Linked DNA regions of Astyanax mexicanus. The protein of the gene in region 2 purifies or fractionates together with the protein of the main gene of each other region. This does not show direct contact. Links are inferred from orthologs where the notes say so. Each region holds a gene or a part of one and is shown on either strand. Other genes may lie near its edges.

Region 1 (11,104 bases), on a different chromosome or scaffold from region 2:
AGAACAGCAGAAAGTGCATCAGACTAAACAAATCTCCGTCCGCCTAAAAAAACTAAAATCAGCAGTGTGGGACTATTTCGGATACCCGCCGAACGCACCCGAGGATGGCTATCCGATTTCCACAGTTAATCCTGTTGGATGTGGTTGGTCCTTCTTGGTGGTATGCTGACATTACCCTGGATACCGTGGCTCTTGATACATCACAAAGTCTTGCTGCCTTGGTCACAGATGCGCCAGCAAGACGTGCACCAACAAAAGCAAATGTGACCAGCTGGACCCAACCAGCATGTTTACACTCAGCAACTATGTGGCTGTAAAGTCACAGCTAAAGATGGACATACGTCAAACCTGTTCTCCCATCTCCGAGAACACCACCCCGCTGTGCAGCGCAAAGTATGTGTTTAGTTTATAATTTTAATCTGAACCTAAATAAAACCTCTTTGTAGTCGTGCACAACCTATGCGGTAAGCTGGGTCACTCTTCATTTGGAACTGGACCGAGACCACCTCCTCTAGCAGGTCTCAGTCCAGTTGTTTTGATCTGTACCTGAGTGCAATTATTAGTATTCACACCTGCTAAAATGAACGACACTAAAAGTACAAATGAACCGAAGTCCGTTTTAATCAGACCAAACAGTGCTGGTGTGAAAACGCCCTAACAGAGTAAAAATCTTCTAGAAAAATAGTGTATTCCTTTCCTGTAAAACAGCTTAACCCAACATTATATCAGTATCATAGCATTCTGAAACTGGAATCACATTGCCTTAAAGTCATCTGTATCTTACAGGTAACAAAACACTTTTACATAGTGTCATTTTCTTTATTGCCTTTTACCACAATTTATATCAAAAATGCTAAGATCACCATTAAATTTTATGAAGTCTGATGAAGCTAGCAGCTACATGTTGCCACTCTAAGCTTTCTGGCACATCAGTGACAAGATGCCTTCTCCAGGAATGTTCATACATTTTTCAACAAGATAATGTAAAACCACCAGCTGGACACATTACAAAGGCGTGACTGAGAAATAAAAGGTTTCTATTATTGGCCTGCCTGCATTCCTGTCTTTTCCCTCAAAAGACACCCAAAACAATGAATTGCTTGGAATTCTCTTTACAAAAAATGTCTTGCTCTGAAATAGTGAGTTTACTATCCCAAGTTTTTTTTAGAATGTTTTTCTTTAGACTTGAAATGCAGGTAGTGGATTATCTCAATGCATTGTCACGCCATTGTCACTGCATTATTACATTCCTACTGTGTACTGAAACCATGGCTGGATATAGCATCACTGTTATATATAGTATGTTCGTTAAAGCACATTCTATTTTAAGCATTTAAGTCTTCCTCAACAAGTGCTAATCATACTAGTCCTGGGAATGCCATGTTCTGCACATTTGTGTGAGCTACCTATAAAAAATAAATAAATAAATATAAATATTTCTAGCTCTGCATGTGTCACATCACTGAATAAACATCAATTGAGAGGAACCAATACTGATATATTACAGGGAATAAGGTTCTACACCTCAAATGTGGTGCATACATTTTATTATTTCTACAAGAAAACTAGCAGCACTTACAACAGGATGAACCAAGATTTTCTGTAAATCTACTCGAGTTAAAAGTTTGTAGGCAACCCACTGAATTCACAGGCTGGAAACCCATTGCTTAACCTTTCATTTTCACTCCTCAATATCCAACCAGTTTGAAAAGCAAAAAAAGCCTTGTAGGCTGTTAAAATCTTAGTGAGCTAGTCCTAATTTATTCATGCTAGCCCATCAGCATTTGGCAGCCTTTGGCAGGCTGCGTCACTGAAATTTTCAACATTAAAAATTCATCAGTAAGGATGAGTGGGAAATTGTGTGCAAATGTGCCATTGAAGTTTCACAACAATACGTTTCAAACTATGATTACTGATTTTTTTTTGTCTCTTATTGCCACCAATATTAAATAGAGTTGTTTCATGAATTGACTGAACCAATACACAATTAAACATCCTGCATTTTTATAATGCCATACAGCATTATGCTACCCATACACTACTTGACTTTGAAAATACTATAAAAAAAGACTTTTAACAGACAAAAAAATCTGACACCCTCTCACACCTAAACACAAGTTACAGACTTTTTACTCACAGACGAGTCACATGATTTTGTCTAAACTGGGGATCACTATTTGCAAGACGGCAACTCAATTCTTTCTTTGCTTTTGGTGGAGTTTACATACAATACATAAAACATATTAAGTTACAAATAATGTGTTTATCAATACTGTGATTTACAACTTTTGTTCCCAACAACAGTCTATTTTTGTCACACTGTTAGTTCTTGATATTTAACAGAATACATTTTGTGTTCAATTCTGCTTGTAAGCTTCTTTTACCCCTTTTTTTTGCTACAACCTTGTATAGCAAAGAATCACAGTTTCACTGCTATACATCTGCCTTTGATTTAAATAGAATTAATGCGATAAAAAAATAATTCTTGCAAAATGTGTATTTATTAAACTTCATATAAAAAATAACACTGCACAATAAGACAAAGTAGTGCAAAATAAAATCACTTTAAATATAATGTCTAAAGTGCTACCTGTGTTTAAAATACTGTATATAGACTCTACCATATACGGCACAATAACTGCAAAATGTGTTCTTTCAAATTGTTTGTAAACATATTTTGAAATACTTATGATAATTTTAAACACTGCTGATTTTATCTGAACGCCAGGACGAGAAAAATACTGACTTAAACCTTTAATTTAACCACCTTACACCGAATGATCGAGATGAGGCAACAGCAGATCCACTCTAGCGCGACTCAAAATTATTTTCCCAACTCTGGAAATTTGTCTGCGTCGTTAGGAGTAAGGTCAGCATTAGACTAGCTTTTATTGAATATTGAGCCAAATATATTCAATACAAAAAAATAAGTATATCTCCTTTTCAATATTTTATTGAGTACATTTCTTATGATGGATCACTGTTTATCAGTCACCTTGTACCAAAGCAGAAAGCTTTTTATTTTGCAAATGGTTAAATAATAGCATTTACTACATTCAAAATAAAGCTTAAACCTGAGAATTTGACTGGGATAATTTTGTCTCATAGGTCATGACAGAAGATTCAGAAGAGCATTTTGCTGCCATGACCTACAAACCCTGATCTAACCCAAATAACAAGTGAGAAGAAGCGCTGATGTGCCTTCTAAGGAGGTCTCTACTAACAGCTCTGCCTCTTCTGTGAAATGAACAGCCCTGTAAGATCTTTACAGAACAGTGCCTGACATTGAGCCAGCCATTGTGTTAATATTAAAATTGTGTTAAGACTTTTTAAATTTTAATTTAAAAGCCGTTTGACCAGTGGTAGGATGGTCCCCCCTCAAATGTGAGTCTTGGTCCTCCCAAGGTTTCTTCCTCCTCCTGCAGCTCTGAGGGAGTTTTTCCTTGCCTCCGCGCTCACTGGGGGTTCTGTATTCTGTATTTTCTATGTTTAATGTTTTGCCTGATTCTTTGTCCTGTAATCATGTTTCTGTAAAGCTGCTTTGTGCCAACACCTGTTGTAAAAAGCGCTATACAAATAAATTTGATTTGATTAATATTAGGGTAGCTACAATCCATTAGGGCTGTGTTGTCTTCTCTCTTAAACACACACATACACCTTGCTGTGCACAAGACTTCCAGTCACATTTAACAGTAAATCGTAACCCTTAGTTGGCCTCTTACTTTTAAATTTTATATTTATATTTATTTAGGTCATTCACCACGCGTTATTGGAGTACTAAGCACACAGAACACTCTATAGGCAAATATGTCCCAAACCTAATAGAGCTCTATAGACCCATGGTACGCTAGAACAGGCGTCATCCTGAAAGTATGTGTCAGAGAACAAGTCCACACAGAAGCGGTGACAACAACACATCCTCCTCAACTTGATCCCACAGAGCTGTGTACTGTGCACACATTGCACAACATCATAACCTCCTGTCACAAGCCTTCAGCACCTTTTCATACATCACATTCACAAAACTCTGAACATCCACTTTTAACTTTCACAGAGAGGCAGACAAGGCTGCACTGTAGCCGCAATGTGTCTCCAGTAAGTGAGGAGAAGCGAATTTGTGTCGCATATAGTCATTTTAGTCTGAAATCACACCAGTAAGGTCTAACTTAACTTAAAATCATATTCCACTGGTTATATAAGAGCTAGAGATCTATAAATTATTTTTAATAAAACATAATGACAAGACATATATGCTTGATTTAATCTGGACTAGTTACATGCCACCACTGTTTTACCATTGAGTTCTCTCCCTTTCTCTTAACTATAATTCCATTTTACTAGTAAAAGCCACAGTTACGGGTCCCACAGCTACATTTTTACTTCTAGAAACTGTAGTTCCAGATATCTACACAGTAATTCAGATTAGAGATTGCAATAAAATTGAGATTGCAATAATAGTAGTAACACTAGTCAGAACCTGAATATCTAAAGTTATATTACATATAATACAACTTCACATATTACATATTACATCAGATTTGTCTAATTGTTAGCATTTGTACTAGTCTAAATAACTCTGCAGCTATCTAGAATTACATATTTTTCTAGCTCTCATTAGCACAATTAATGTTAGGTTACCCATTATGGGTTAACTGTACAACTTTTCTTTCCAAAGTGTTTTGGATTTGAGTTACTGGACATAAAGGCCAACTAATTTAACTATAGTTAGTGAGTTGTTGCATGTTGGCTGTAACCCTTCTAAAAAGGTCTCACTCCAATACTTCTACATAAAATATTACAAACTACTCAAACCAAACCGAACACAACTGAAATATTAGAGTGAAAAGACTTTACCCATCCTAAAACAACTAGCTAGCCTAATACTTGTTTTTGTTTGTACACAGTCCTCTCAACCAACAGTATGGCTAGCTAGGAGTATGAAGTAGGGGTAAGATGAAACATCAACACAGGGGTACATTGTATTTTTATCTGCAATAGGATATTGTCATGCGGGGTCCAACATCAATATTTGATTTCTGTTCGAATTAAGCTTATATTACACATATTATTTGGAAAATAAAATATTTGTGCTCTACCCAGACATTTTACCAGCAGCAGAATAGTTCTACTTTATGGCACTTAGGACTGGGAGAAATTGTAAAAAATAATACACATTACTTTAAATATACATGCTACTCACAATAACTTTTATATTAAACACAGTGTAAACAATTTTACTTGTATTTAAGTTATGGAAAAGTATGAAATATGAAAATCACAGTTCTTTACAGGTTTTTGACAGAAGCAAATGTCTATCTACTGAAACAGTTATTAGACTAATGTCCCAGCACTGATAGCAGTTTATGGATATTTCACAACATTGGAATAATACCACATTTGAAAGAGCTGCAGTCAGTTTGCTTATTTGAGTATTTTATTTTGTTTAAACGTAATAAATGCTAGTTAGTTGGTTTAAAGTGTGAAAAGACTTAATCCATCAATTCAGTTTTTTGTTAGTAAGGTCTGTTTTGGAAGTTTCGTTGTATGAAGACGTTTTCGGGTTTTTAGCACTGCCAAGCTGTATTCTATGTTTTGTTTCTGTATTTTTAGGAAGAAATGAACCCAGTTATGTCTAAATCGAATATTAGTATAATATTAGCTAACAGCTAATGACAACCCAGGTAAAACCTCACGTCTTGTCAACGTCAGGATGTATTCACCTAACCTAGCTATTTTCTCCATTTTTGTTCAATACAGACATCTTTATTAGCCAAGATAGGTTAGTAAACTGCCTTATAGCTAAGTGAAATATATTGTGGGCAGTAAGGCATCAACTGGGCATTTATTTCACACTTTTCAGACACAGTGATTCCCACCCCTAGTATGAAGTATGTCGGCTAGCTACGATAAATCTAAAGCTAACAAGCAAAATCACTGTAACCCAGATTACGTTAGTTATTTTAGCTAGATCAGTTAACCCCTCATCTCCACACTATCTGTCCGAGGTTTTGAAGGGGTATTTCTGTGTCAGTCCACTGCACTGCTTAACTAAAGCTCAGAGTAAGCTGTCTGTTCTGTTCTGATCGAGTAAACGCGGAGAGAAGTCCCCGGACGGGTCGCTAACGAGCTGAAGTAGCTTCATAAAGACTGGAAGCACGCCGACGCCATGATGACCAAAACAAAATGGCTGAACGGGAGATTAGTTGACAAAGTCAGCAGGGCTGCGTGAGGAGCGGCTTCCTCCGGGTTACCACAGCTGAGGGTGAACTGTATCAGCTCAGAGGAACCGCACACAGCGAGGAGAAGATCCCACATCGTAGGTAAGGAGCACAGACAGGAGACGGACATGTATTTGTGAGCTGTGGTCTCTTCTCTGATCCAGAAACGCTAGTTAAATTAGCTTAGCTAGCATTAGCTGGGGATAACCTAGCAAGCCAGCCATATAACAAGGGGTTAGCTAGCTAACTAAGTACGTTAGCTATGCAGCTATGTTATTTAACTAGGTAGTAAATTAAGGGGATCTGGCACCTTTTAAACATTGTTTAGCTAGGTAGTTAGCAAGCTAACTTAACGCATAGCTCAGTAAGTCTCTAGCTAAATCCATAGCTTATCTTAGCTTAGCATATCATAGCATAGCTACCTGCAGCTCGGCCCGCTCCACTTCCCAGTGCGCCCGCTCCATCTCGAACCGGGCCCACTCGTGCTGGATGTAGTGCAGGATCCCCGGGATCGTGTACTGCTGCGGCCGCGGCATCTCGTCTTGCTGCTGGACCGCTGGCGCCGTCCCCCCGGGTCCGATCTGGGGATTAACGGCGTTATGGTTTCCCTGCTGCGGCGCTTGCTGCTGTCTGGCGGTGGCCATTCCTCCCCCTGCTGCTGCTCCTCCTCCTCCGCCGGGGTGTTCATCCATTTTCTTTAAAAATAGCAATGTCCCGCTCCAAGTCGCCGCACGACCACAGTCGCGCTCGCTCCCTCTCTCTCTCTCGCCGATCCCCCGCCCCCTTCGCCCTCGGTAAGCAGCGCTCGCCCCGCTACAGGCTGCTGCGGGTTCGCCCGCGGCGCTGGACGCGGTGTGTGCTCCGGGCTCAGAGTGAGCGCACGGCTCCGCCGGCCGCCATTAGTCCGCTCCCTGGATGAGAGTCTCCTCACTGCGGGCGACAGGGGGATTCAGCTCGCGCTGCATGACGGGACCCAGCTCACCCAGCCCTGCTCTGCTCTCTACCGGCCAGACACAGAACACAGCGGCGCAGACAGAGCGCATGCGCAGACTGAGAGCTGTCGCCTCACAGCACTCACAGTTAGCTATAATAACAGTAATCTCGAAGAATAATATATAAGGGCTATTCCACAGAATGAATGATTTTAAATTACTTTTTTTCATCTGTTTTCAACTCTACTATATTTTTATTTGTCCTGTTACCAAAACTTATGACATTTAAAAAGCATGTTCAAAAGTAAGTAAGTAAGAACTAATTCATTTGATTTTCTGTCAAGAAAGTCATTATTTGAATTAAGTGGTCAAAAATATATTTATGACAAAAATCACTATATATGCATGCACATTGTAGTTTTCTAAAAGATGCAAAGCCATATTTGTTTTTTTTTTTCAAGACCCAAACCTGAAATGAAATGGCACAGATTTTGCGGAATATGCCATACAATACTACTTCTAGAGTATGAAGGAACACATAAGGAATCTTATTGAAAGTTTATTGAAAAAAGATGTTAAACAAACCTTACAAAATACTCTGAGAAAAACATTAAGCTGGCTCTTATCTGGTGTGCTGTTTAAAACCTGAGGTATCTAAACTGGTAACCTAACTATGATGAGCTTATCCTGTGCAACAGAGGTACCTATTGGTCCTCCTTTCTTGGGGCAGTCCTGATGAGTGCCAGTTTCATCACTCAACGTTTTGAGGAAAGGGGCTACACCTGCCACACCTGTCAATCACTCCTGAACCCTTCTGAAAGACAGCCTCAGATTTGGGCTACTGAGAAAAAGAACTGGACTGTTGCTCAGTGGTCAAAAACCTCTTTCAACTCTTTTAACAAGAAGTTCAAAGTACAGTGTGAATTTCCGTAATCTGTGATTGTTTGGGCAACCAAATCATCTGCTGATGCTGGTCCACTGTGTATTTTTAGGTTTTAGAACACTTTGTGCTTTCGAATGCTGACAAGCTATATTGAGATTTCCTGTAGCAGAATGACTTGGCACCTGACCACAGTACTAAAACTACTGGCAAATGGTTTGCTGACCATGATATTGTTGTGCTCGATTGGCCAGCCAACTCTTTAGACCTAAACCAAATAGAGAATCTGTAAGACACTGTCAGGAAGATGAATAACACTCGACACAGCAATGCAGATGAGCAGAAGGCCACTACCAATGCAAACTGGGCTTCAGTAAAATCTTTCCATTGCCATAGCAAGCTGATTGCATCCATGCCACACCACACTGATGCAGTATGGTATGATGCAGTTTGGTATGAATGTATGGTAGAGAAGTCCCAACCATGTATTGAGTGTTAAAACGAACAAATTTGAGTGTTGTTTTTCTGTGTGAACGTATGCAATACTTAAATTATAAAAGATGCTGAATTTTTAATTTTAATGAGCATTAAGTGAAACTGGTCAAAAATAAAACAAAAAATATATATAAAATTGAATTATGAACAAAAATACACTTTTATCTGATTTTCTCCCCAATTTACATGGCCAATTACCCAACCCACTCATTCGGGTTCCCCTTATCACTAGTGATGCCCAACACCAGGAGGGTGAAGACTAGCATATGCCTTGATGCAGCATTGCTTGGAGGAAAGCGCAGCGACTCGGTTCTGATACATCAGCTCACAGACGCCTTGTACTGATCAACATCACCGTAGAGAGAGCAAGGCCAATTGCACTCTCTCAGGGCTCCGGTAGCTGACGGCAAGCTGCAGGAACAGGATTCAAACCGGCGATCTCCTGATCATAGTGGCAGTGATTTAGTCTGCTGGACAACTCGAAGACTTACTAAAATACTTTTTTTATTATTTATTTTACAATATTATAAATTATAACAGTACACATACATGATGCGTGATAATGTATGAGTAACACAATCTTAATAACCGTAATTTGCAAATAAACCCAATTACAGTAAAACTGTAAATACGTATTAATTATGGCATTGACAAAACAATAACATAATAAAAATAATAAATAATAAAATTATAAAAAACAATAACAGTGTTACAGTTTTAGCTGCATAATCTTTTTTTTCTTTCTTTTTTTCTCATTCTAGTGTTCTTTATAGTGTTCCCACCTTCCCAATTGACCATGATCAAGTTCCTGTTGATGGTCAATAAGCAGGGGCAGACTCGCCTGTCTAAGTACTATGAGCATGTGGACATAGGAAAGAGGGCTGCCCTGGAAGCAGATGTGGTCAAAGGTTGTTTATTTCGCAAGAAAGAGGAGGTAAGTCTCACGTTTTTCTGTCTCGTTTATAACTAATGCTTCCTAATAAAATAAATCCTTTACAAAGGCACCTACTGCTGTTCCTAACCAGTCATAAATGAATTAAAGTTTACTACTTGATTTGACTTGACGGAATTGTTGTCCAGTAACTTGCAGCCCAGATATAATATGTGTTAGAAATGTGTAGAGCAGGGTGTGAAATGGATTTAAAACTTGCCGGCAAAAGACTTTTACTGTGAGGGGTCAAGCATTCAGGCCTGGACTTTTTCACACCTGCACTTTATAGTTTCAACTAAAAATGAGCTAAAAAGGACCCTGGGTTCAGTTTTTTTTGGGGAAGGTGTGAATACAGTAATTGCAAAATAACTGCACCCCTGGAGTAGGTGTTTTGCTTCAGTCTCATGTACTCTGAGTGGTTTGTTTGTGGCCAAAACATAATCTAACCCTGATTTGCCACAACTATTAGCTATAATATACACCCTACATATACAGATGTGCTTTGGAATTACGCTTATACATTTCAGAAATGCTCCAAGTTTACAAACTTGTCAACTGTTTCAGACCAGAGCAATCCAACTATATGTGTAAAAACTCCACATATGCACTTCCTTTCCTGTGAAAAACGTAATTACGTGTAAGTAACTTAACTTAAGCGTGAGTAATAATGTCAAAATACCCTGTTTATTATTTTGCCTGATTCTCTGTCATGTGATCACTTTTCTGTAAAGATGCTTTGTGACAACATCACTTGTGAAAAGTGCTATACAAATACATTTGTTTAGATTAGATTAGATTTGATTTCCAGCAAGACCTTTAATTCCATCCCATGTGCTATTTTTTTATTGTTCCCAGGATGGTGGGACAGAGTTAGTATGGAGCCCTGGTAAAAACCACATATTTAAAAAAAAAAAAGCCACAAATACATGGGATGATCTTGAAACTGTGAAGCATGGTGGTGGTAGTGTAATGGCATACTGAAATGTACAATGATCAAAGAAAACTCCTTCACTGACTGTTGATGCTGTTCTTCATTATTTCTATATTTTTTCATGGTTGTTTGTCATGTTTCCTCCTTTTTTCAGTGCTCATTTGTGGAGTATAAGGACTACAAACTGGTCTATCGTCAGTATGCAGCTCTTTTTATTGTCGTCGGCATCACTGACAATGAAGTGAGTTCTTACTTGCTCTGGGTATTGATAATAGTGATCATGGCAAATAATGATTACGCTGTAAAAGAAAAACATATACTTAGTTAAATTGTTATTAACATTAATGTTTTTTTTATGTTTACTCACCGTTCAGAATGAACTCTCCATCTATGAGCTCGTCCACAACTTTGTTGAAGTGCTCGACAAGTATTTCAGTCGTGTGGTAAGTTAAAGCTGACCCATAATAATAATAATAATAATAATAATAATAATAATAATAATAATAATAATAATAATAATAATCAGGGTTCATACGGTCATGAAAAACCTGTAAAAGTAATGGAATTTGAAAATAGCAATTTCCAGGCCTGGATAAGTTTTGGAAAAATAAAACTACCCATAAAGTTTTGAAAAAGTTATGGAAATTTGCTCTACAAATCTTTGTGTTTCAGTTTATTGATGGAGAAAATCTATTTTGAGCTACAAATACATCAGCT
Region 2 (10,856 bases):
TTGGTAATTTAGGCAATCCATTAAATATCAGCTTAAGGTTGTAATGCTTGTGTTATTTGTTCATGTAAGTAAGGTTGGAAGACACAGGTGCTCCATAGTGCAAAATTCAATGCTTAATGCTTACAGTAGTCCTGAGACAGGCTTGTTCATGGTATACACACACACACACACAAGTCATGTATATCATGACAGAGCAGAGATTAGATCTCTTTACAGTTTTTCATTTTGGAACCAAGTCTGCTAATTAGGGCAGAACTCCCAGCACACACAAGGCTTTCTTAACAGTTCAACTACACACACTAAGCCATATTTAGGTAGCCAGACCAAGTGAAAATGCAGATTAAAAATCTTGGGCAGTGAAACGTTACAGCTTTCCCTTTTTAACTGTTCTGCTTATTTCCAGAGCAGAGATATTCAGTGAATTTGTGGGTATTAAAACAATAAAATTCATTTTAAAAAGTGTATTGTGTCAGCATTGTTATACTTGTCAAGCACAGTCCCTGGAAAAAAAAAAACTAGCAGCATTTGGATACATAAATATTAAGTGTTTTTTTTTTTTGTTTATTACTTCATGCACCAATGCCTCAGGTGTACCTCCCGTGTTCCTCCCTGAAAATTAGCATACTGCAGACTTGTTCATTTAATATTTTTCAGAATTAGTTTAAAATAACAAAGGCTGGCATCAGGAGCATTGAGGGGTTTGGTGTTTAAATATTACTTTTAGGTCATTAAATAATACTACACCCTGGACCAAGGTGTTTCAATCAGAAGGCAAAGGAAGATCAGAGGTTGACGAAGGAAAAGGCAGAGATTTGTTCACCACTAGTAGATAAAGAGGAGTCTGCAGTTCTTTCTGAGCTTTTCTCCACAGCAAAGCCTGTGTAGCCTTCTGCCCCAGTCTGGACATCTGGCTCGACAAGAACAGGCTCAACCAGACACACAGGCTTCCCTCTGTTTACCAGCTCCATCCCACTAAACAGTGAGAGAGTAGGATGGTGTCTAGCGGGCTCTGTGTATTTGTCCTCATCCTCATGTACAGTCTGCGGGTCCTCTACCTGCACTCCATTCTCAGCAGATTCTCCCACAGCAGCAGCAGTCACAGTATGCTCTTGTTTTAGACCATGTTCAGAAGAAAGAGCATGTGGGAAATTTGTGGATGACATGCTAGAAGGTGCTTCAACATCCAGAGTAGTTGGGAGAAGAAGTGGGCTGACAATGGTGGGATTTAATGGCTGCTTTGAGAGCGAGGGGCTGGATGATTCTGGACAGACTGCAATGCCAGTCTTCATCAGGGGCGTGGAGCTGCCCAGGAGTGCCTCAAACTGTCTAAGGAGCTATACAGTACATAAGAGAGATAAAATATATTCAATAATACATACAATACTAGTATAAACAGCTGTTGCTCAGTGGTGGAGAAATCAGGTCCAGAAAGTAAAAATCCTTCCCGACTGAGCTGCAGCACAGCTTTCCAGGAAATGGGAGCAAAATTCTAGGAAGGATTTTTATTTTCCTGATCTGAATTGTACACCCACTGCTATCACTAAAGATACAAAGATTTAAAGCAATTTATTTAACCTTTGTTGACTTGTTGGCTACAGGTCCTTCCACTTCCTCACTGAGCTGGGCCAGGCGCTTATGTGTAACACAGAATATCTGGTCCAGAGAGAGGAGATCTGTAGACATCAGGCAGGCCAGGCCACACAGGGCCCTCTGCGGAGAGGAGAAAGAACTTGCTTTATCAGTTGCTTTGCCAAACAGAGACATGAGATAGCAAATACTAAAGAATAAATAAATGTACCATTTGGACAGTCTGTGCTGTTTCCTTCAATTTGTGAGAGAGAAGTTCTACCACAACTTCACAGTTTAAAGTAGAACACCTAGAGAAGCAGGACAAAGAAACAGTTAATTAATCTGACTTTACTGCCAACAAGTATTTTTTATACTTTTATTGGGATACAGCCTCAATATACAAATGCTTACTCTTTAATGAAGTGCTGGCTCTCATCTCTGGACAGGAAGATTTTGGAACCATTAGTAAGACTGCTGATCAGCGCCATCTCCTGACCACAGTCTCCCAACTGCATGGCCTCCACACTGAGAGAGAAAATATTTACCTTTACAGTGGGCTATTCACTCACAGATCCTACATGCATTAATAAATAAATTCTATGTAAAATATAAATAAAAGCTTATAACTAAGCTTTTAGGTTTCACCCATGAACATTTTAGAAAAAATACTAATTCTTCATAACATGCTATAAATAAATGTGCATTTTATTATTACTTCTAGAGTTAAATTGTGTCCATAACATGAACACTAGTCTTGTGTTCATGAATTCAGACAACTTTCCCTCAAGCTCTTTATTCACAGAACCACAAAGTGGGGAAAAAAGTTTCAAGCAGACTAATGAGATCCCTTACCGTTCTGCCAAGTCTCCACTCTCTCGACTGGCCCCCGAATGGCTGCCTGTTTCACCGGATTTGCTGCTGTCCCCCCTGGAAGTGTGGCTAAGTGGCTCAATCTCAAGAGAAGAGTTGTGAGAGGAGCTGTGCCCACTACCAGTCTCCTCCCAACCTCCACCTGCCTGTCCTGGACATCTGTGAGAAGCTAGAAATAAGGAATTTGATTTTAATGATGAACAAAACTCCCGTATATAAACAGAATCCAGAATCCATAGCTTGGACGAAGAGCTGTTATGAGGGTCTGTGTGTGCACAGCTAACCTTTGTGGCTGTGAGTGGGCACACTGTAAGCACATGCTGGCATTGCCACCTCCACTGCAGCAGAGGGAGCAACCACTGCCCGATAGTGGTTGTCATATAGACGAATCCCAGGCTGCTCTGTTGGTGGAAGGACAGCACTGGCAACTACCTCTGCAGCCTTCTGAATTTTACCCAGAAGAGTCGCTCTGTCTTGGGAAGAGATATTGTATATATGGAGGATGAGGACAGATACATGGAGCTACATAATTTAATGCAGGCATTTAATTGCTGTAAAAAAAAATCACAGTTCGTTTTGGTAAAGTGAAAATTACTCTCTTACTGGATGTTTTCCTTCCAGGGCTGTTTCCAAATCCCTGCATTCCTGAGCGGAGAGATTCTGATCCCATTCCTGCCGAACAAAATAAAATAACAGAATATTACACAGATTGTGGCTACAGAAAATATCTTTATGCTTAAATTCTTTAATTAGCTGTTATTATCAGTAAATAAACAGTCAGTTGACAATGATAAGAATCGTGCTTAACAAATACACATGCACAAATGTTGGACAATACAGAATCCTTCACAACTTTTTTCATGGGTATCATCACATAAACAGCATTTTTCCATAAAAAAAGAAACTTAACATTTCCATCAAGAAAGCTCCCTTACCCAGGCTTGGAGTTGCAGCTTTGCATGGCGAGAGTCCAGAGTTTGCAGACATTGTATCATTAAACAGCACACCGGCCAGTTCCTATAAAATAGCCACAATCAAACATTAAATCTTTGTTCATTTAAAAATTAAATGTGTCAGATAAACTGTTAATATTATAAGGCAAAGGAAGAAACAGATAATTACAAAATCTCAGGTTTGACAACCTCAGTATTTAACAGAGAAAGACACACATCTCACCTGCGCTGCAACCCTGACCCTTTGAAAGGGAGCATTGCCATGAATGGGATCTGGTGGACCACTGTAAACTGAGAGACCACACAACATGTCAGTCTGCTTTAAGAAATGGGTGAAAATGTTGTGTACCGGTAAGTTAGGCTGGTACTTTTGTACGTCTACTCCAAAAAATAAGGGTTTAAAGTACTCTATATGTGTGTAAATAAAGTAACCATATCCAAGTACAGTGTCCATTTTATTCAAAGGATCTAGGTCTGTTGCAATAATTACAATATCGTTTTGTCGTATAATATATGAAAAAGAAAACACTAATTACCAGTTACTTCTTGGATGAATGTAGCATTCCGCCTCAGTTCTGTGAGAAAGTGAGGAGGACCATGTCCACACAGATGCAGGAGGATCTTCAGAACCTTGGACAGAGAAATGAGGGGTGAGAAATCTCAAAGAAACAGACAATCACATTTAATCAACTCCTCATTTCCCTCCTCTACGATACAAATGGAGGTTTGTGCTTGAGTTTCTCTCACCTTCAGTTTCACATGGCAGGACTCCACCTGCAGACGCTCCAGGAGGTACTCCAGAAGACACTGGCAGCAGCCCAATGACTCATGTGAGATTTCTATGATTTGAAGTGAGTGAAGGAATTTGATGGAGAACAGTTGTGTTCATTTTGTGTTCAAGTTGTGTTCAAAACAACAATGTTCATTGTACTCAAACATATATCTATAAAACAGCAAAATAAGAGAATCTGATTTAGAAACTAAAGTGGTCTCTTAATTTTTTCCAGAGCTGTGTGGGTAATGTGTTGTAATGAGAGTGAAAGCTGCTGGGAGAAGGATACTGTTGATGTCCTGGAAGAGGTAGCCGGGGCAGGGCACTTCGTCATCTGCTGTTGCCTTCATGAGGGTCGGCACCTAAACAGCAGTCAGGGAGAAGACAGGGTTAGAGACTGCGGCGCTCAGCAAAACCAGCTGAAAGCAAGAGTAAAATAGGGGGTAAAATATAAATATAGTATAAATATAAATGTCAGAATCCTCTGACAGCTAACAGGCTAGCTAACCCTGCTGTGTAACTCTACGGGAGTTTGCTAGCGTTAGCTAGTTAGCCAGTTAGCTGCGGCTATCACACTGTAGCTAAACACTCCAGAGTAAAATCCAGATAGCAGATATCTTTGCTCGCTGGTCTCCCACACAAAATGCCGTGTCTGATACCTACTTTCTGAAGGAAAGTCAGCCTTTCCATTAGTGTAGCCATCTCGTTCCGATGAGCAGTCCACCGCTCTGTGTACCATTGCTGTGCGTGACTTGGTGGATGACCGTGCACTTAGCGAATCACTGCATCTGTTAGTGAACACCTCGAACCGATTCTTAACCCGTTCAGACCTGAATTATGTTCCAGTAATGAAAGAAAATGCTGTTTCTGTTTGTAATGTAATGCACTCACAAACAAGTTAATTATTTTGTAAATAAAATAATAAATAAAGTAACTAATAAAAAATAATTAGTTTAACATTATTTTTATCCTATATAACTTTTAAACACCTTCTTTTATTTTGCAAATCATTCCTGTGGAGTAAAACCAAATACATGATAGGAAAAAAATATTTTGCCTCATTAGCTGTGATGCTGCCATGCTTTTCTTTCAGTGTGCAGATTAATTTAGATTAATTAGATTAATTCATTTTAAAAAATAGATGTATATCTGTTAAAAGGGTTAAGTTATGGAACAGTTGTGAAAAATGTTTAAGAATGCCTAACATTACTGAATGTTACTGAACATAAAGAAAGTGTCATCAGTCCTTCTGATTCTGATGCCACTGATGTTTAAAGATTACTTTCTAAAATGGGCATTCATCCCAGGATGACAGGGTGAACAGAAAAATTATGGATACGTTTAAATATCTTATTTTTTTTAATTAAAGTAGCTAATTAAATAATTAAAATGCCTAAATTATACAAAAGAGTTCAGAAATTAATATTTGGTGGAATAACCCTGGCTTTCAACCACAGTTTTCATGCACCTCCACCAGTCTTACACTCTGCTTTTGGATAACATTATGCCTAATTTTTAGGTGGTCTCTTATTTTTATTTTTCTTAGGTAGTCTTTTATGATTAGGTATTTAAACAACTATGCTGTCAAAATGTAATATTTAAAAGCAGAGTCGATTCATTGAACACGACAGTTCAAAAGAATCGATTCTGGAATTTGAATCACGCTCTTCAGTACTACAACGTTCTGTCACGACCTTGCCGCACAAGCCCTAATGATTCATTGGTTCATCTGTTTTACTGAAATGTCTTTAGTAGCCAATCAGCAAAGATAGTCAATTTTAGGGGGCGGGTCATACAGATGTTTGACCAATCACTGGTGTGAGAGGGCGGGCCGTTTCTTCGTCACTAACATGGTGAGCACGGGGTGAGTAGTGCCTGCTGTTGTTTTCTGTCAGTAATATGATTTAATCATGTGTTTTTGATCAGAGTGTTAAAGCTGAGTGTTGGAGTTTATGGGTAATTGATGTATATTGTTAAACAGTGTAAAACAGCGCGGTATTTTACTGTTAAATGTGTGTTATCTCTCTCTGTGTGCAGGAGTTAGCCTGCCTGTGAGCTAATGTTAATAACTGTGGGTTGTGCTGAGACTTAAAGCTGATCAGAATCATGTCAGGGACAAACCCCTGGACCCGGAGCCGAGAGAGGATGAGGCGGTTCCCCGACCTGCTGGCCCAGTGCTTCACAGAGGTACCTGTATGATGGTGCCCATACCTGTCCAATGCTGTGTTCATCTGCTGTTCCTCTGGTCCTACATGACTTTGAAAAGACTCTGAAAAGGCTTAACAGACTAAAGTCTGACACCCTCTCACATCTAAAGACTAGTCACAGACTTTTTACTCACAGACTAAGATTTTGCAAAGACTGGGGGTCACTATTTGCAAGACTGCAACTAGATTCTTCCTGAGATTATTTCCCATCATGCTTCTGGTTGAGTTTACATACAATGAATATAACATCCTGAGTTACAAATAATATGTATATCAATACTGTGATTTATCAGAGACTGACAACTTTTGTTTTTTAATATATTTTGTGTTCAACTCTGCTTATAAGCATCTTTTTCCCACCCCCTTTTTTGCTACAACCTTGTATAGCAAAGAATCACAGTTTCACTGCTGTACATTTGTCTTTGTTTTAGATAGAATTAGTGCAATAAAGAACATCATTCTTGCAAAATGTGTATTTATTACATTTGTTTGTATCAGAAATAACACTACACAATAAGATAACGTAGTGCAAAATAAAATAACTTTAAATATAATGACTTTAAAGTGCTAACGTTACCTAGAAAGAAGAAGAGAAAAAGAAACATAAAAGGCTTATTAACTGAAAACTGTGTTCTCTTTCAAATCGTTTGTAAACAGTCATATATTCAAATATTCTTGACCTGCGGCTTCCCGTAGATCTCCTATTGGTTGATGACATCGTTCACATCACTATTTGCGAGAGCCGAGTCTCAAGACTTTCGATAACATTTTAACAGCAGCTGTAAACTAAATGATTTACAGACAGCTGATTAACTGTTCTCTGACTCTTTTTCCTACAGGCAGCAGTTTATGGGAAATGTGTGGTCTCCACTACTACTGGTAAACAGGAGCTGAAGAAAGATTTATGTGTAAAAGAGTTTGAAGCCCTGAAGACCTGCTTTGTCTCTGCTGTGAGTAAACCTAAAACCATTAGCACACTGCCCGGCCAAAAAAAAAAAAAGTCGGCACCTGGATTTAACTAAGTAAATGATGTGGGGTTGATGCTGCAGTTAGTCAGGTCTAGATTCAGCAACAGTATGAAGAATGAGGTCAGCTGACTACCTGAATATACTGAATATAGACCCGGTTATTCCATCAGTGGATTTTTTTCTTCCATGATGGCATCATGACAATCATCAATCCTGCAAGATCTTGGTGAAAAATTAATGCAGCACTGGATTTAAATAAATCTTATGACAAGCTTATTGAAACAATGCCACAGTGAATGCAAGCTGCAATCAAAGCTAAAGGCGTTCCAACGAAACATTAGAGTGTGTGACCTTTTTTTTGGTGGCGACTTTTTTTTGGCCAGGCAGTGAATTACAATATGTTTTATTGTATACAGTACCTGTCAAATGTTTGGTCTTCTTTTCATTAAGTGTGTTTTCTTTTTTTTATATATATATATATGTATATATTTTTTTATATTGTACATTTAATAATGAATACATTAAAGCTTTTCAGGAACACATGTGGAATGATTCTTCTAAATGGCCACATTTATCTTTGGGGACAGATCTGCACACACAAATGGGTATTTTAATCTCAGTGTCTTCATGATGTAGAGTCACGTGGAATAGTTTTCTCAACCTCTCAAAGGAGTTCCTGAAGGTGCTGAAGCAGCAGCTGAACAATAGTCGCTGCTACTCCGTCACGCTGTAAAGCTTCGGCTCATCCCAAATCACCCAATCTCAGTTGGGTTTAGGTCAGGGGATTTTTTTTTGTTTACTACGTAAATCCATATTTGTCCCTTAATTATTTTTGTCTTTTCTATTTATCTACAGTGTAGAAAATAAATAAAGAAATAAAGAACATTGAATGAGAAGGTGTGTCCAAACTGTATAATAACAGCAAACGTGTCAAATTGTGGGGAACATTTAATATAATGGGAATACAACAGAACATGATTTGATTTAGACTAACGTCTGTCAGTACTGAAACTCATACAACATTAAATAAAATGGAAAACATTAAGAGATTGGCATTAATTAGCAAATTAAACAAAAAGTCCTTACTCTGAATTGTAATATTTGAAATTATGCTTTTTAAAAATTGTTCTTATGAAAATCAAATGCCATTTGAAACAGAAGGGCCCAGATGCATATCCTGCATTTCAGTGAAGGTTTTCTTTTTTATCTTCCATGGCAAATGGCAAAAATCATGAGACATGATACTATTCTGTCCCGTTACTTGTGGTATATTAATGTAACTGTATACAGAAACTAAAAATGTCTTAGATTTAACAGCGTGACCTTTTTGGTGTTATATAAATCAATTTTTTTGCGGAACAATCAACAAGAAGGATTTTTTTGCTGTCATTGTTTTAGGTGCAGATTCAGACATTCATATTTCAAACTAAATAAATTTTCACACCACCCTTCTCACTTCTTAAATTATGTAGTTTGGATAAAATAAACCACCTGTTGGATTTGTATATATTAAGAGAAGAGTGCATCATTTGGATGGATATGAACACAGAAGTACATGATGTGTTCTTATATATGTGTATACCGGTAGTTTTTGAAGCCCTTAGGATTTTCACTCTTATTTGTCGTTACTTTAAGCAAACTAAAAGTTTAAGTTTGTTTGTATTTGTATAGTATGTGTTCTCTGACCTTAATATCTAAATTGTTTTAATATTTATTCTTAATTAACTTAATGTATTTTTCTTTGCAGGCAAAACGGGGTGTGAAGTAGATGGAGTGCACAAAGCCATTCATTGACCATCATGTTTTATAAACATACATTTATTTGTATAGTTACAATATAAAAAAACAGTTGCTGCCATTTTTATTTACCAGTATAAATAGTGACATTATTTTTAATATTTGAATAATATATGTTGGTTCAGCATATATTTGTATTGTCCTCGTGTATAAAACATAAATGAATTGTATGACACTTGGTTTTGTGTGAGCATGAGTAATAATAAAGAATGAATGTGAATAGTAAGGAAATGGACCGCGTGGTTAATTTAAACTCTGCCACAGAGAAGCATGGGCCAGTAATTCTGACAGCCCCACTGCTTAATTAAATAGATTAGAGGAAGATATGGATGAAAGAATTGAACTAACCATAACCAGACTGTTCATTTGTTTTAGACAGAGAGACGGCGGGGGTAACTGGCTGCATGTAGAAACTGAAACAGGCAGGATGAGTAATGAGGTGTGTTACGGCTCTAAGGGTGGCACCGTCCGGCTTTAATTGCTGCTCTTGGATCTGTTTTTTAAGGGATACATTAAAAGACATAGCTTTGAAGAACTGGTCGTAGCTCAGTCAGAGCAGGAGATGAACATAAAAAAAGGCAAGCTGATTAATGCTTTGCCATGGGTTTCATGTCACTGGCACCCCAAAAGCTTATGCACTTCAGCTTACCACATATGGAAATGCAAGCTGCACCAGTATTATTGACGCCCTGCTGGAGAACCCACACCCTTGTTAGCCAGATGTTAATTGATGGAGTGGCCATAAAGGCAAGTCAGTAATGACTTGGGATCAACATACAATCCAAACAGCCAATTAGAGAATGGGTAAAAGGCTTGAGTATATAAATGTTTGCAGCCAACGGCTTGGAGAGCTGTGGAACTCTGCTTGAGGTATCTCTATAGAAAAAAAAAAAAACGCATGGAAATTCGTCTTAACCTCACTCTACTCTGACTCAGGCACTGTTTGTGGCTTGTCTTTATGTGGTGGTGCTTCACACTTTTTTTAGTGCACTACAAGGTGTTAATTAAAAGAGTCTGGCCCACTGGAAGTGCTCTTGTTCTGCCAAACTTGGCCATTAGCCTTAATGGTAGAGCCTTTGAATTTTCTTGAGTATGGTCTTCATTTGGAAATCATTTCATTTTTTTTTCAGTTTCTCTTGAAAGATAATCCATTACATATAAGTTTTTGTCTGTTTTACAATATATTTATATTTTATTATTAATTTATTATTATTAAATATAGACATATATTAGGATCTAACAATAGAGAGTTGGACAGTTTAGTACTGCTTTAGGTCCATGAATTCAGGGCTGTAAAACTCTAAACATAGAAATATTCATTGATTTTGGAAACATCTGTCTGTGAGATTATTGGCTGGTTGTAAAGTAGAAACCTGGTTATTGTCTGACCCAACATTGTCCTATTATTTAATTACTGATGTACATGTAAACACATTCATTGGATTACTGACAATATCTGATTTCTGCAGGTATTTGATTGTTAATTAATTTAAATGCTGTTATCAGGGGTGTCAGTTCCAGAATATCAGTTTAACATTCAAAGCTACCTACTATTCCAAAATAAATTACTAATATACCACAAAGAAGGATTTACTATCCACACAGTTAATAGCATAATCACCAGTTTTTACACACTATTTGTTTACGCACAGTTGTGAATATTCCATAACATTACAATCTGGTGGTGGACCCACATTAACATTTATGAAAAGTAATAACA

What was found.
Region 1: the proteins of tepsin (region 2) and ap4s1 purify together in Homo sapiens (co-immunoprecipitation; 3 studies listed by BioGRID and IntAct, with this or other methods). This does not show direct contact. The link is inferred for Astyanax mexicanus from reciprocal best matches to the Homo sapiens genes TEPSIN and AP4S1.

Annotation. Positions count from the first base shown.
Region 1 is NC_064421.1:45,452,269-45,463,372, reverse strand, and holds the start of ap4s1 (AP-4 complex subunit sigma-1), read left to right. Parts: upstream 1-6,016; 5' UTR 6,017-6,320; intron 6,321-6,640; coding exon of another isoform or gene 6,641-6,910; exon of another isoform or gene 6,911-7,178; intron 7,179-9,286; 5' UTR 9,287-9,321; coding exon 9,322-9,459; intron 9,460-10,541; coding exon 10,542-10,628; intron 10,629-10,761; coding exon 10,762-10,830; intron 10,831-11,104. Other genes in the region: strn3 (striatin-3), read right to left, coding at 6,641-6,910. UniProt on the Homo sapiens protein: Component of the adaptor protein complex 4 (AP-4). Adaptor protein complexes are vesicle coat components involved both in vesicle formation and cargo selection. They control the vesicular transport of proteins in different trafficking pathways.
Region 2 is NC_064422.1:33,106,948-33,117,803, reverse strand, and holds the start of tepsin (AP-4 complex accessory subunit Tepsin), read right to left. Parts: upstream 4,981-10,856; 5' UTR 4,867-4,980; coding exon 4,828-4,866; intron 4,527-4,827; coding exon 4,454-4,526; intron 4,232-4,453; coding exon 4,140-4,231; intron 4,023-4,139; coding exon 3,929-4,022; intron 3,684-3,928; coding exon 3,616-3,683; intron 3,457-3,615; coding exon 3,375-3,456; intron 3,112-3,374; coding exon 3,043-3,111; intron 2,913-3,042; coding exon 2,724-2,912; intron 2,609-2,723; coding exon 2,422-2,608; intron 2,095-2,421; coding exon 1,981-2,094; intron 1,878-1,980; coding exon 1,799-1,877; intron 1,711-1,798; coding exon 1,576-1,710; intron 1,335-1,575; coding exon 783-1,334; 3' UTR 1-782. Other genes in the region: ndufaf8 (NADH dehydrogenase [ubiquinone] 1 alpha subcomplex assembly factor 8), read left to right, coding at 6,271-6,351, 7,211-7,321, 9,087-9,107. UniProt on the Homo sapiens protein: Associates with the adapter-like complex 4 (AP-4) and may therefore play a role in vesicular trafficking of proteins at the trans-Golgi network.